Linked DNA regions of Bombyx mori. The protein of the gene in region 2 binds, or shares a complex with, the protein of the main gene of each other region. Links are inferred from orthologs where the notes say so. Each region holds a gene or a part of one and is shown on either strand. Other genes may lie near its edges.

Evidence for each region.
Region 1: exosome complex exonuclease RRP44 (region 2) and exosome complex component RRP41 share a complex: the UniProt entries of both Caenorhabditis elegans proteins name them as parts of the RNA exosome complex. The link is inferred for Bombyx mori from reciprocal best matches to the Caenorhabditis elegans genes dis-3 and exos-4.1.

The regions. Positions count from the first base shown.
Region 1 is NC_085134.1:3,235,519-3,239,956, reverse strand, and holds the start of exosome complex component RRP41, read left to right. Parts: upstream 1-1,554; 5' UTR 1,555-1,974; coding exon 1,975-2,145; intron 2,146-2,500; coding exon 2,501-2,573; intron 2,574-3,999; coding exon 4,000-4,136; intron 4,137-4,438. UniProt on the Caenorhabditis elegans protein: Non-catalytic component of the RNA exosome complex which has 3'->5' exoribonuclease activity and participates in a multitude of cellular RNA processing and degradation events.
Region 2 is NC_085115.1:11,139,527-11,142,797, reverse strand, and holds part of exosome complex exonuclease RRP44, read right to left. Parts: intron 2,465-3,271; coding exon 2,244-2,464; intron 1,101-2,243; coding exon 932-1,100; intron 1-931. UniProt on the Caenorhabditis elegans protein: Putative catalytic component of the RNA exosome complex which has 3'->5' exoribonuclease activity and participates in a multitude of cellular RNA processing and degradation events. Has both 3'-5' exonuclease and endonuclease activities.

The sequences.
Region 1 (4,438 bases), on a different chromosome or scaffold from region 2:
ACAACTTCGTCTATAAATCTTTGAAACGTTTGGCCTGCGTTGCGCAGACCAAAAGTCATGTAATTAAATTCGTAGAGTCCGAAGAGTGTTATGATGGCGGTTTTACAGATATCCTCAGGCGCAACAGGAATTTGCTGATATGCCTTAACGAGGTCGATGGTACTAAATATACAACACCCAGATATGTTATGGCCAACGTCACCGATATGGCGAACTGGGTACCTGTCAGGTATGGTACGTGAATTCAACGCACGATAATCGCCGCAGGGTCGCCAGGTGCCGTCGCGCTTAGGGACCATATGAAGTGGAGAAGACCACGAACTTTTCGAAGGTCTGGCTGTCCCGCACTGTACCATATCATCAAAAACCTTTTTGGCCTCTTGAAGTTTTTGAGGTGCCAGACGTCTAGGACGACAAGAGACTGGGGCGCCCTCAGTGGTTAGAATATAATGAACTGTGTTATGCTTCGGCTCACGAATAAGTCCTGGTGGCTTCGTAATGGACGGAAATTCCGCAAGAAGTGCACTAAATTGGGATGACGGCGCGCAGACAACTTTGACGCTGGTCTGGTCTAAAACAGCGACGGCAGCAACGTATGACAACCCGGTAATGCTATCGACGAGTCTCTTACTGGCACAATCTGGCAACAACCGATAATGCGCCAGAAAATCGGAGCCGATGATGGCGGTGTTGACGTCAGCGATAATAAATCGCCATTGAAATGTGCGGCGTAACCCCAAATTAAGCGCCATTTCTATGTGACCAAAAGTGCGTATCTCACTACCATTGGCAGCCGCTAACGTATAGTTTGAACGTACCGGCTTATTTGCTAACCACTGGTATGGGTAACAGGAGAGGTCGGAGCCTGTGTCTATTAAAAAACGGCGCTTGGTTGCGCTTTCGGTGACAAATAATCGGCGACTCTCCTTTAAGCAGTCAGACGTCGCCATCATTGACTGCTTTTGTCGTTTTCCGAAGATGGCGGCGGCGTCCAGGTACATGGTTGAATACACTTAACAGCTTTAGTATTAAATTTCCTATGGTAAAAGCACATTTGAAGCTTACCAGGCGTTTGTGAGCGTCGTCGCTGGTTTGAGAAATCCCGGGTCCTATTTCTACCGCGCTCTGCAGTAAGCACAGCAAGCTGACGCGTGACCTCATCCAGACGCCGTGTGATATCTTCTAACGAAGGGGTTGAGACGGCAGACGTACTTGCTGAGAAAACAGCAGATGAATGAGGTGCGACCATACCAGGCGAAACTTCCAAAATTTTGTCCGCTAGCTCAGCGACTTTGTCCAGCGAGAGTTCTGATTGGGCGGCCAAAATTGCTTGGAGATGTTGTGGGAGGCGACGCATCCATAGCTGGCGAAGCAAATTTTCATCAGTGAGGGTTTTTCCTGCCAATGATCTAAGATAACGTAAAAACTGCGAAGGACGGCGGTCACCCAACTCAACATCACTGACAAGTTGCCTGACACGTTGCTCATTAAATTGGAAAAATCTTAGTAAATAACCACCATTTTACTGAGATTATATTTCATCCCATATCATCTCATTTCATTTAATTTCATCTCAGTTGATTAATGTCTCAAATTAATCATCTTCGTTTCATTTCATTTCATCTCACTCCATATTATCATTTTGCATAAAAATAATAATATAAATTAAAATAAGAAATGACTTAAAGGTCTTAGTTACCAGGTCACACTACCCTGAAAAAAAACACGATAACATAACCTACAAAATAAAGTTTAAAAAATAATTGAACGAAAATAATATATTTATTAGTCTTTATTCTTTAATAACCATAACGTCCATAACCAATCTCATGAATTATTAGAATCACCGCGAATTTTAAAAACGGAATCGACTATGATAATATAACATAGTAAAAAGCAAATATTTTTAACAAAACAATTCAACATATTGAACAATTCATTATTTTTTAATGTGTTTTTGTTAGAAGTTAAATAATGCCCGCTGCCGATCTACTCTCGAGTCAAGGACTACGTCTTGACGGGCGGAGACCCAATGAATTACGTCGGATAAGATGTAAACTTGGTGTATTCACCCAGCCTGATGGAAGTGCGTATCTCGAACAAGGAAACACGAAAGTGCTTGCAGCCGTGTATGGACCCCATCAGGTATATGATACAAACGATTTACAAATACTGATTAGTTTACCGTGGCAAAACGTCTGTAAATCTGCCTGAGTAAATAATCATCACTATCCCGCTACTTCTGCTACAAAATTGCACTATTTCTGCTACAAAAGTGTAATGCCTTCTGGCTTGAAGAATAAGACAGCTATTTTACAATATTGAAGTATCGACCCATGTGCCAAGGTCGCATTCACGTCTTGATGTGTTTCAGCTTTAGTAACCAAATTCTTACCAAGTAGCTGGTAAAAAATATGTATTTACACATTTTAGGTACTTCATTTTCGGACACGTTCTTCATAAATGAAAAACCTTCATTATAATTTAAAATGTTTTTCAGGCTTCAAAATCGAAGATGTCGACAGAAGCTGTAGTTGTCAACTGCCAATACAGTATGGCTACATTCTCAACAGGTACCCATTGAGAGTTCAACATATTTTCAAAAGCCTCTTCAAATAAATGAGATTATATATAGAGAAAAAAATCTGTATGAGCTTAATCGCACATTAAAAATACACAAGTTAATAACATCCGTGGATTTCCAATCAATCTTAGAATTAATTTCAGTGTGTACATTTATTTGTTCCTGCACATCATCAGACCTACTGAACCAGATACGTTTACTACGTACGTGTAGTTTTTTTTATGGTGGACAAAAATTTGTTTGTAACAGAATAAAGGTTTTGTTTTATTTTAATCAAAAGATGCAAAAAGTTTTCATCATTTAAAGTTTTATGGAATTTACTTAGTGCCATTATATGTTAGAAAATATACAGCAAATAATAACATGAAAATGAAAGAAACTCTACTATGGGAAATTAAATAGGATGCATTTTATCCTAGTGTTAAGCACAGTCAGCGGCAGGCAATAGCTCTGCCCCTGACATTGCTGAAGTCAATGGGCGACATTACTGTGTGGTTACCCACTCACCATCAAGTAGGCCGTATGCTCGTCTGCCTACAAGAGAATAAAAAAAATTCTCCACTCACATAATATAATATGTAATTTAGGTAAGCATATAGCTGGCAGATAGGCAGTTATATTATAAATGTTATACATTTGAAAACAATACAATTATGTATGTGATAAGCCTGCAGAAGTAGGTACTGTTATATGTTTACAATGAAGCAATCATGCTTTGCAGTTTCATAATACATTTGAGATTTTGACTGTCTCTCAAAATCGGTGGCATTATACACACTGCGATGTCTATGTATTCTACCCATTTAAAAGTTAAAACTAGGATATTCCCTCGTCAGTACAAAAAGAAACTAAGATAGACCCAAAGATATGAATATTCTTATCTACACAACTTATAAGGGTTATTATATATATATGCCTATTAGGCTACATAACTTATTATTTTTTTTTTTTTTATTGCTTAGATGTGTGGACGAGCTCACAGCCCACCTGATGTTAAGTGGTTACTGGAGCCCATAGACATCTACAACGTAAATGCGCCACACACCTTGAGATACAGTTTTAAGGTCTCAGTATAGTCACAACGGCTGCACCACCCTTCAAACCGAAACGCATTACTGCTTCACGGCAGAAATAGGCGGGGCGGTGGTACCTACCCGTGCGGACTCACAAGAGGTCCTACCACCAGTAATTACGCAAATTATAATTTTGCGGGTTTTTTTTATTACACGATGTTATTCCTTCACCGTGGAAGTCAATCGTGAACATTTGTTGATTACGTATTTCATTAGAAAAATTGGTACCCGCCTGCGGGATTCGAACACCGGTGCATCGCTTCAACACGAATGCACCGGACGTCTTATCCGTTAGGCCACGACGACTTCTAAACGACTTATTATCGAACATTTCGCATCTAGGTGAACGAAAGAACCGACCTCGCGGGGACCGCAAGTCACAAGAAATGTCAATGCATCTCCGACAAGCTCTAACTGCTGCTATTAAAACTGAAATGTATCCAAGGTCGCAAATAGATATATACATAGAAGTATTACAGGTAAAACATATAATTTTTTTTTTTTAAATCCTTATCGACGGATTATATGCTATTTGGGTTATACGACATTTCGTTTACTATGCGATATTTATCTTTCTAATTAAAGGTCGGTTTTATTTAGTATTAGTATCACCAATCCAATGTTTTTAATTGAACTTCAGTTAAGTTTACCGCATTCAAATAGCTGAAGAAGTTTTTGTTGTTGCGATATTTTTTTCAAATTTTAAACTTTAAATGGCTCTCCTGTAAAGTAACAAAAATGTCGCTTAAACGAAATGGCCTTTCACCCATCCTTATGATAG
Region 2 (3,271 bases):
CTAAAGACGGGCTAACAAAAAATATTGTTCACGCTGCAGTATTAAGAGATTAATATTATGTAATAAATTAATTATATATATATATAATTATTACTTTTAATAAATTAAAACAATTAATGTTCGGTGTTTTGTTATTTTTAAACAACATTCCCTCATCGTTCACAGCGCTCCAGGCCTTTTTCACTCATATTGCACATCCTTATACACTTCCAATAAGTTAGTAATTTTTTTTCTACACTAGAAATTCTCTAGAAATCTTATATATGGCAAGACAACGTTTGCCGGGTCAGCTAGTATTAGTATATAATAATGAACACGGAATCTTAAAGGAAATTACTAAATTCTGATTCCTTATGTTTATTTTTAATTAAAAAAGCTTACCTATATAAACTACTAGGTTTACTACTAACGTCTTAAGTGATTGTTTCTAGAATCATCTGTAGATGCGTTGTTCAGCAATAACTTTGTATACTTGCCGACACGTAAGTTGGCAAGGTTTTGGCTTAGTGAGGGTTAGGTCGCGCATAGTGCACTTAATTCAACAAAAAACTGTCACACGCAAGTGTAATCGGGAGCGAACGGAACGTAGACGCGGTGCGGGAGTGGAGGGTCGTCTGACTCACCAATCGCGCGCTCGGAACGGTACTACGACATTCCCCGCGTCCCGCTTGACAACCAAAGAGATCTAAAAAACGACTTGTATGCATCTAACTACTCTTCCCAAGTTACGTGCCGGGGACTGTATACGCGGCCTGAATTATCGTATTGTTCGATAGTGAATCAGTATCGTATCGTGACTTTGTATTCGCGGCCTGAATTATCGTATTGTTCGACAGTGAATCAGTATCGTATCGTGACTTTGTATTCGCGGCCTGAATTATCGTATTGTTCGATAGTGAATCGGTATCGTGGTTGGCGTGAGTGTACGCACGTGAGTGTTGAGCGCCACGGAGGCGCGGCCGGCGAGCTGCGCGTGGCGGTGCCGGTAGTTGAGTGTGTCGGCGAGCGCGGCCTGGCGGCGCGCGTCCAGCAGCGCGGCGTGCGGGCCCGCCCCCGCCACGCTCGCCGCCAGCAGCCGGTGCACCACCACGTCCGCGTACCTGCACACCGCGCCCGGACAGAATACTTAACCATACACATTTTTATCAACTTATGCGGCCCACAAACGACCCTAAAATCAGTGGCGATATTGGGACAGCGATGGTGGGGATAATCGTCCCTAAATCTTGAGCTCGCCCGAAGCGACATTAGAGTTTAGGGTAAACAATACAAATCGAATTACAATTTGCCTATACCTCCTCGCGTGGTTTTCCTGAGGGTCCTGAGGTTTCCTGATTACTGAGGGTCGTGATTCCCCCGCTGCATCAATTTCTCCCGTACGATTTTCCTCTATCTGCCGCGATCCTTAGCTTCATGAAGGGCGCATTGTAGAAGTTGATGTTTAGAGAAGATCATATTTGGTCCGACCATCTCGTGGGACTGCGTCCTCTGGGACGTTTGCCATCTACCTTTCCTGTCACCATCTGCTATTCTAGATTGTGACCCTCTTTACGAGCAATATGTCCGAAGAAATCCAACACCGTACGAAAGCATATAGTGGAAAGTCTACTTTTGATATGAAGCTCTCTCAGAATAGACATGTTGGTGCGAAAGGCGAATGTGCGTATGCCACACGAGGTGATTTAGGGTACGATTTAGGGTCCTCCCCACCACGGTTGAAGTTGTCGTTGCCATGTAGGTCACCGGTGCCCTAAGCGGTGCACTGAAGTAATAATGTCGATTTCTGTCACTAAAGCACCTGAATTACCTAACTTAGCTTTTATTTGTCTCTTAATTTACGTTTTAGTCTTATATGTCTGTTAGAAATCGATACATTCTCAGTATTGTTCGGGTTCGTCTTTCTCAGGTTCTATTAGATATTCCGGCGCCTTAATAAGAAAATCGAAGAGAGAAATCGACATTTTACTGGTGGCAGGACCTCTTGTGAGTCCGCGCGGGTAGGTCCCTATTTCTGCCGTGAAGCAGCAATGCGTTTCGGTTTGAAGGGTGGGCCAGCCGCTATAACTATACTTGAGGCCTTAGAACTTATATCTCAAGGTGGGTGGCGCATTGACGCCGTAACACTAGGTGGGCTGTGAGCTCGTCCGCTCATGAAAGCAATAAAAAAAAACTTCAGTGCGCCGCGTAGGGCACCGGTGACCTACACGGCAGTCTACGTGTTAAAGGCAAGAGCCGCTACGTACCTCCGTATGGGCGAGGTGAAGTGCGTGTAGATGGGACAGGCCAGTCCGTAGTGGTAGTAGTGGTCGGCGGCGAGGCTCCCGCTCACGAAGTACGCGGCCTGCTGCATGCAGCGCGTCGCCATTATGCGCAGCAGCGTGTTGAAGAACGGCCGCTCCGGTATCACGGCCTCGTTCAGCGATTTCGAAAACGATTTGTTCGTTGACACGTCGATTTCGAAGCCCTGAAAAGTTTGCAGTTTTTAATTAAGCCGCGTTCAAACTACGCTATAATAAATAAAAAACTAAAAAATAGAATATAAATTTCAATAAATTTGAATTAAAAATAGTGCAAAAAAAAATGATTTTATTGTAAAAAAAAAGCGTGAAGTGCTTTTTAGGATATTATCAAAATAACCCTTCTACTAATATCTGTTCATAAAATATTTATAACTACTGATACCATGCACCCCACGCTTTTTTACAATAAAACTCATTTTTTCTTACATTATTTTTAATTCAAATTTATTAAAGTTTATTTTCCTATTTTTTAGTGGGATTTTCTATAAAAGCGTATTTTGTTAATATAGTTTTTTTAAACTATTATTTATTTTTCAGTTTTTAGTTGAATTTAAAAATTTTCAATTTTTTTTTATTTTGTATTGTCATCGGCCCTTAATAGTATATCAAATTTCAAGTTAATCCGACGTTTTGAAGGGGATCAAAATCATGTTCAAAGATTCCGTTACAAACATACATACGTCTGAAGCTAATAAAAAGCGTATTAAAAAGCATATAGTATATATGTAGTTCATAGCAGAACAATATCGCACACCATATATTGTTATGGACAAGTAAAGGCTGCTGTACTATATGGTACTATAAGTATAGCGTAGTCTGAAAGCAGCTATAGTCGTACAGCGTTTTGTGGTGGGTACCACCGCATTGCTAACCTTTGATGAAGCAGTAATACGTTGCGATTTGAACGGTAAGACAATTGTTGTACATTCGAATTAATCGGCGTAGCAGCATTCAAGGTTTGATAACTATGG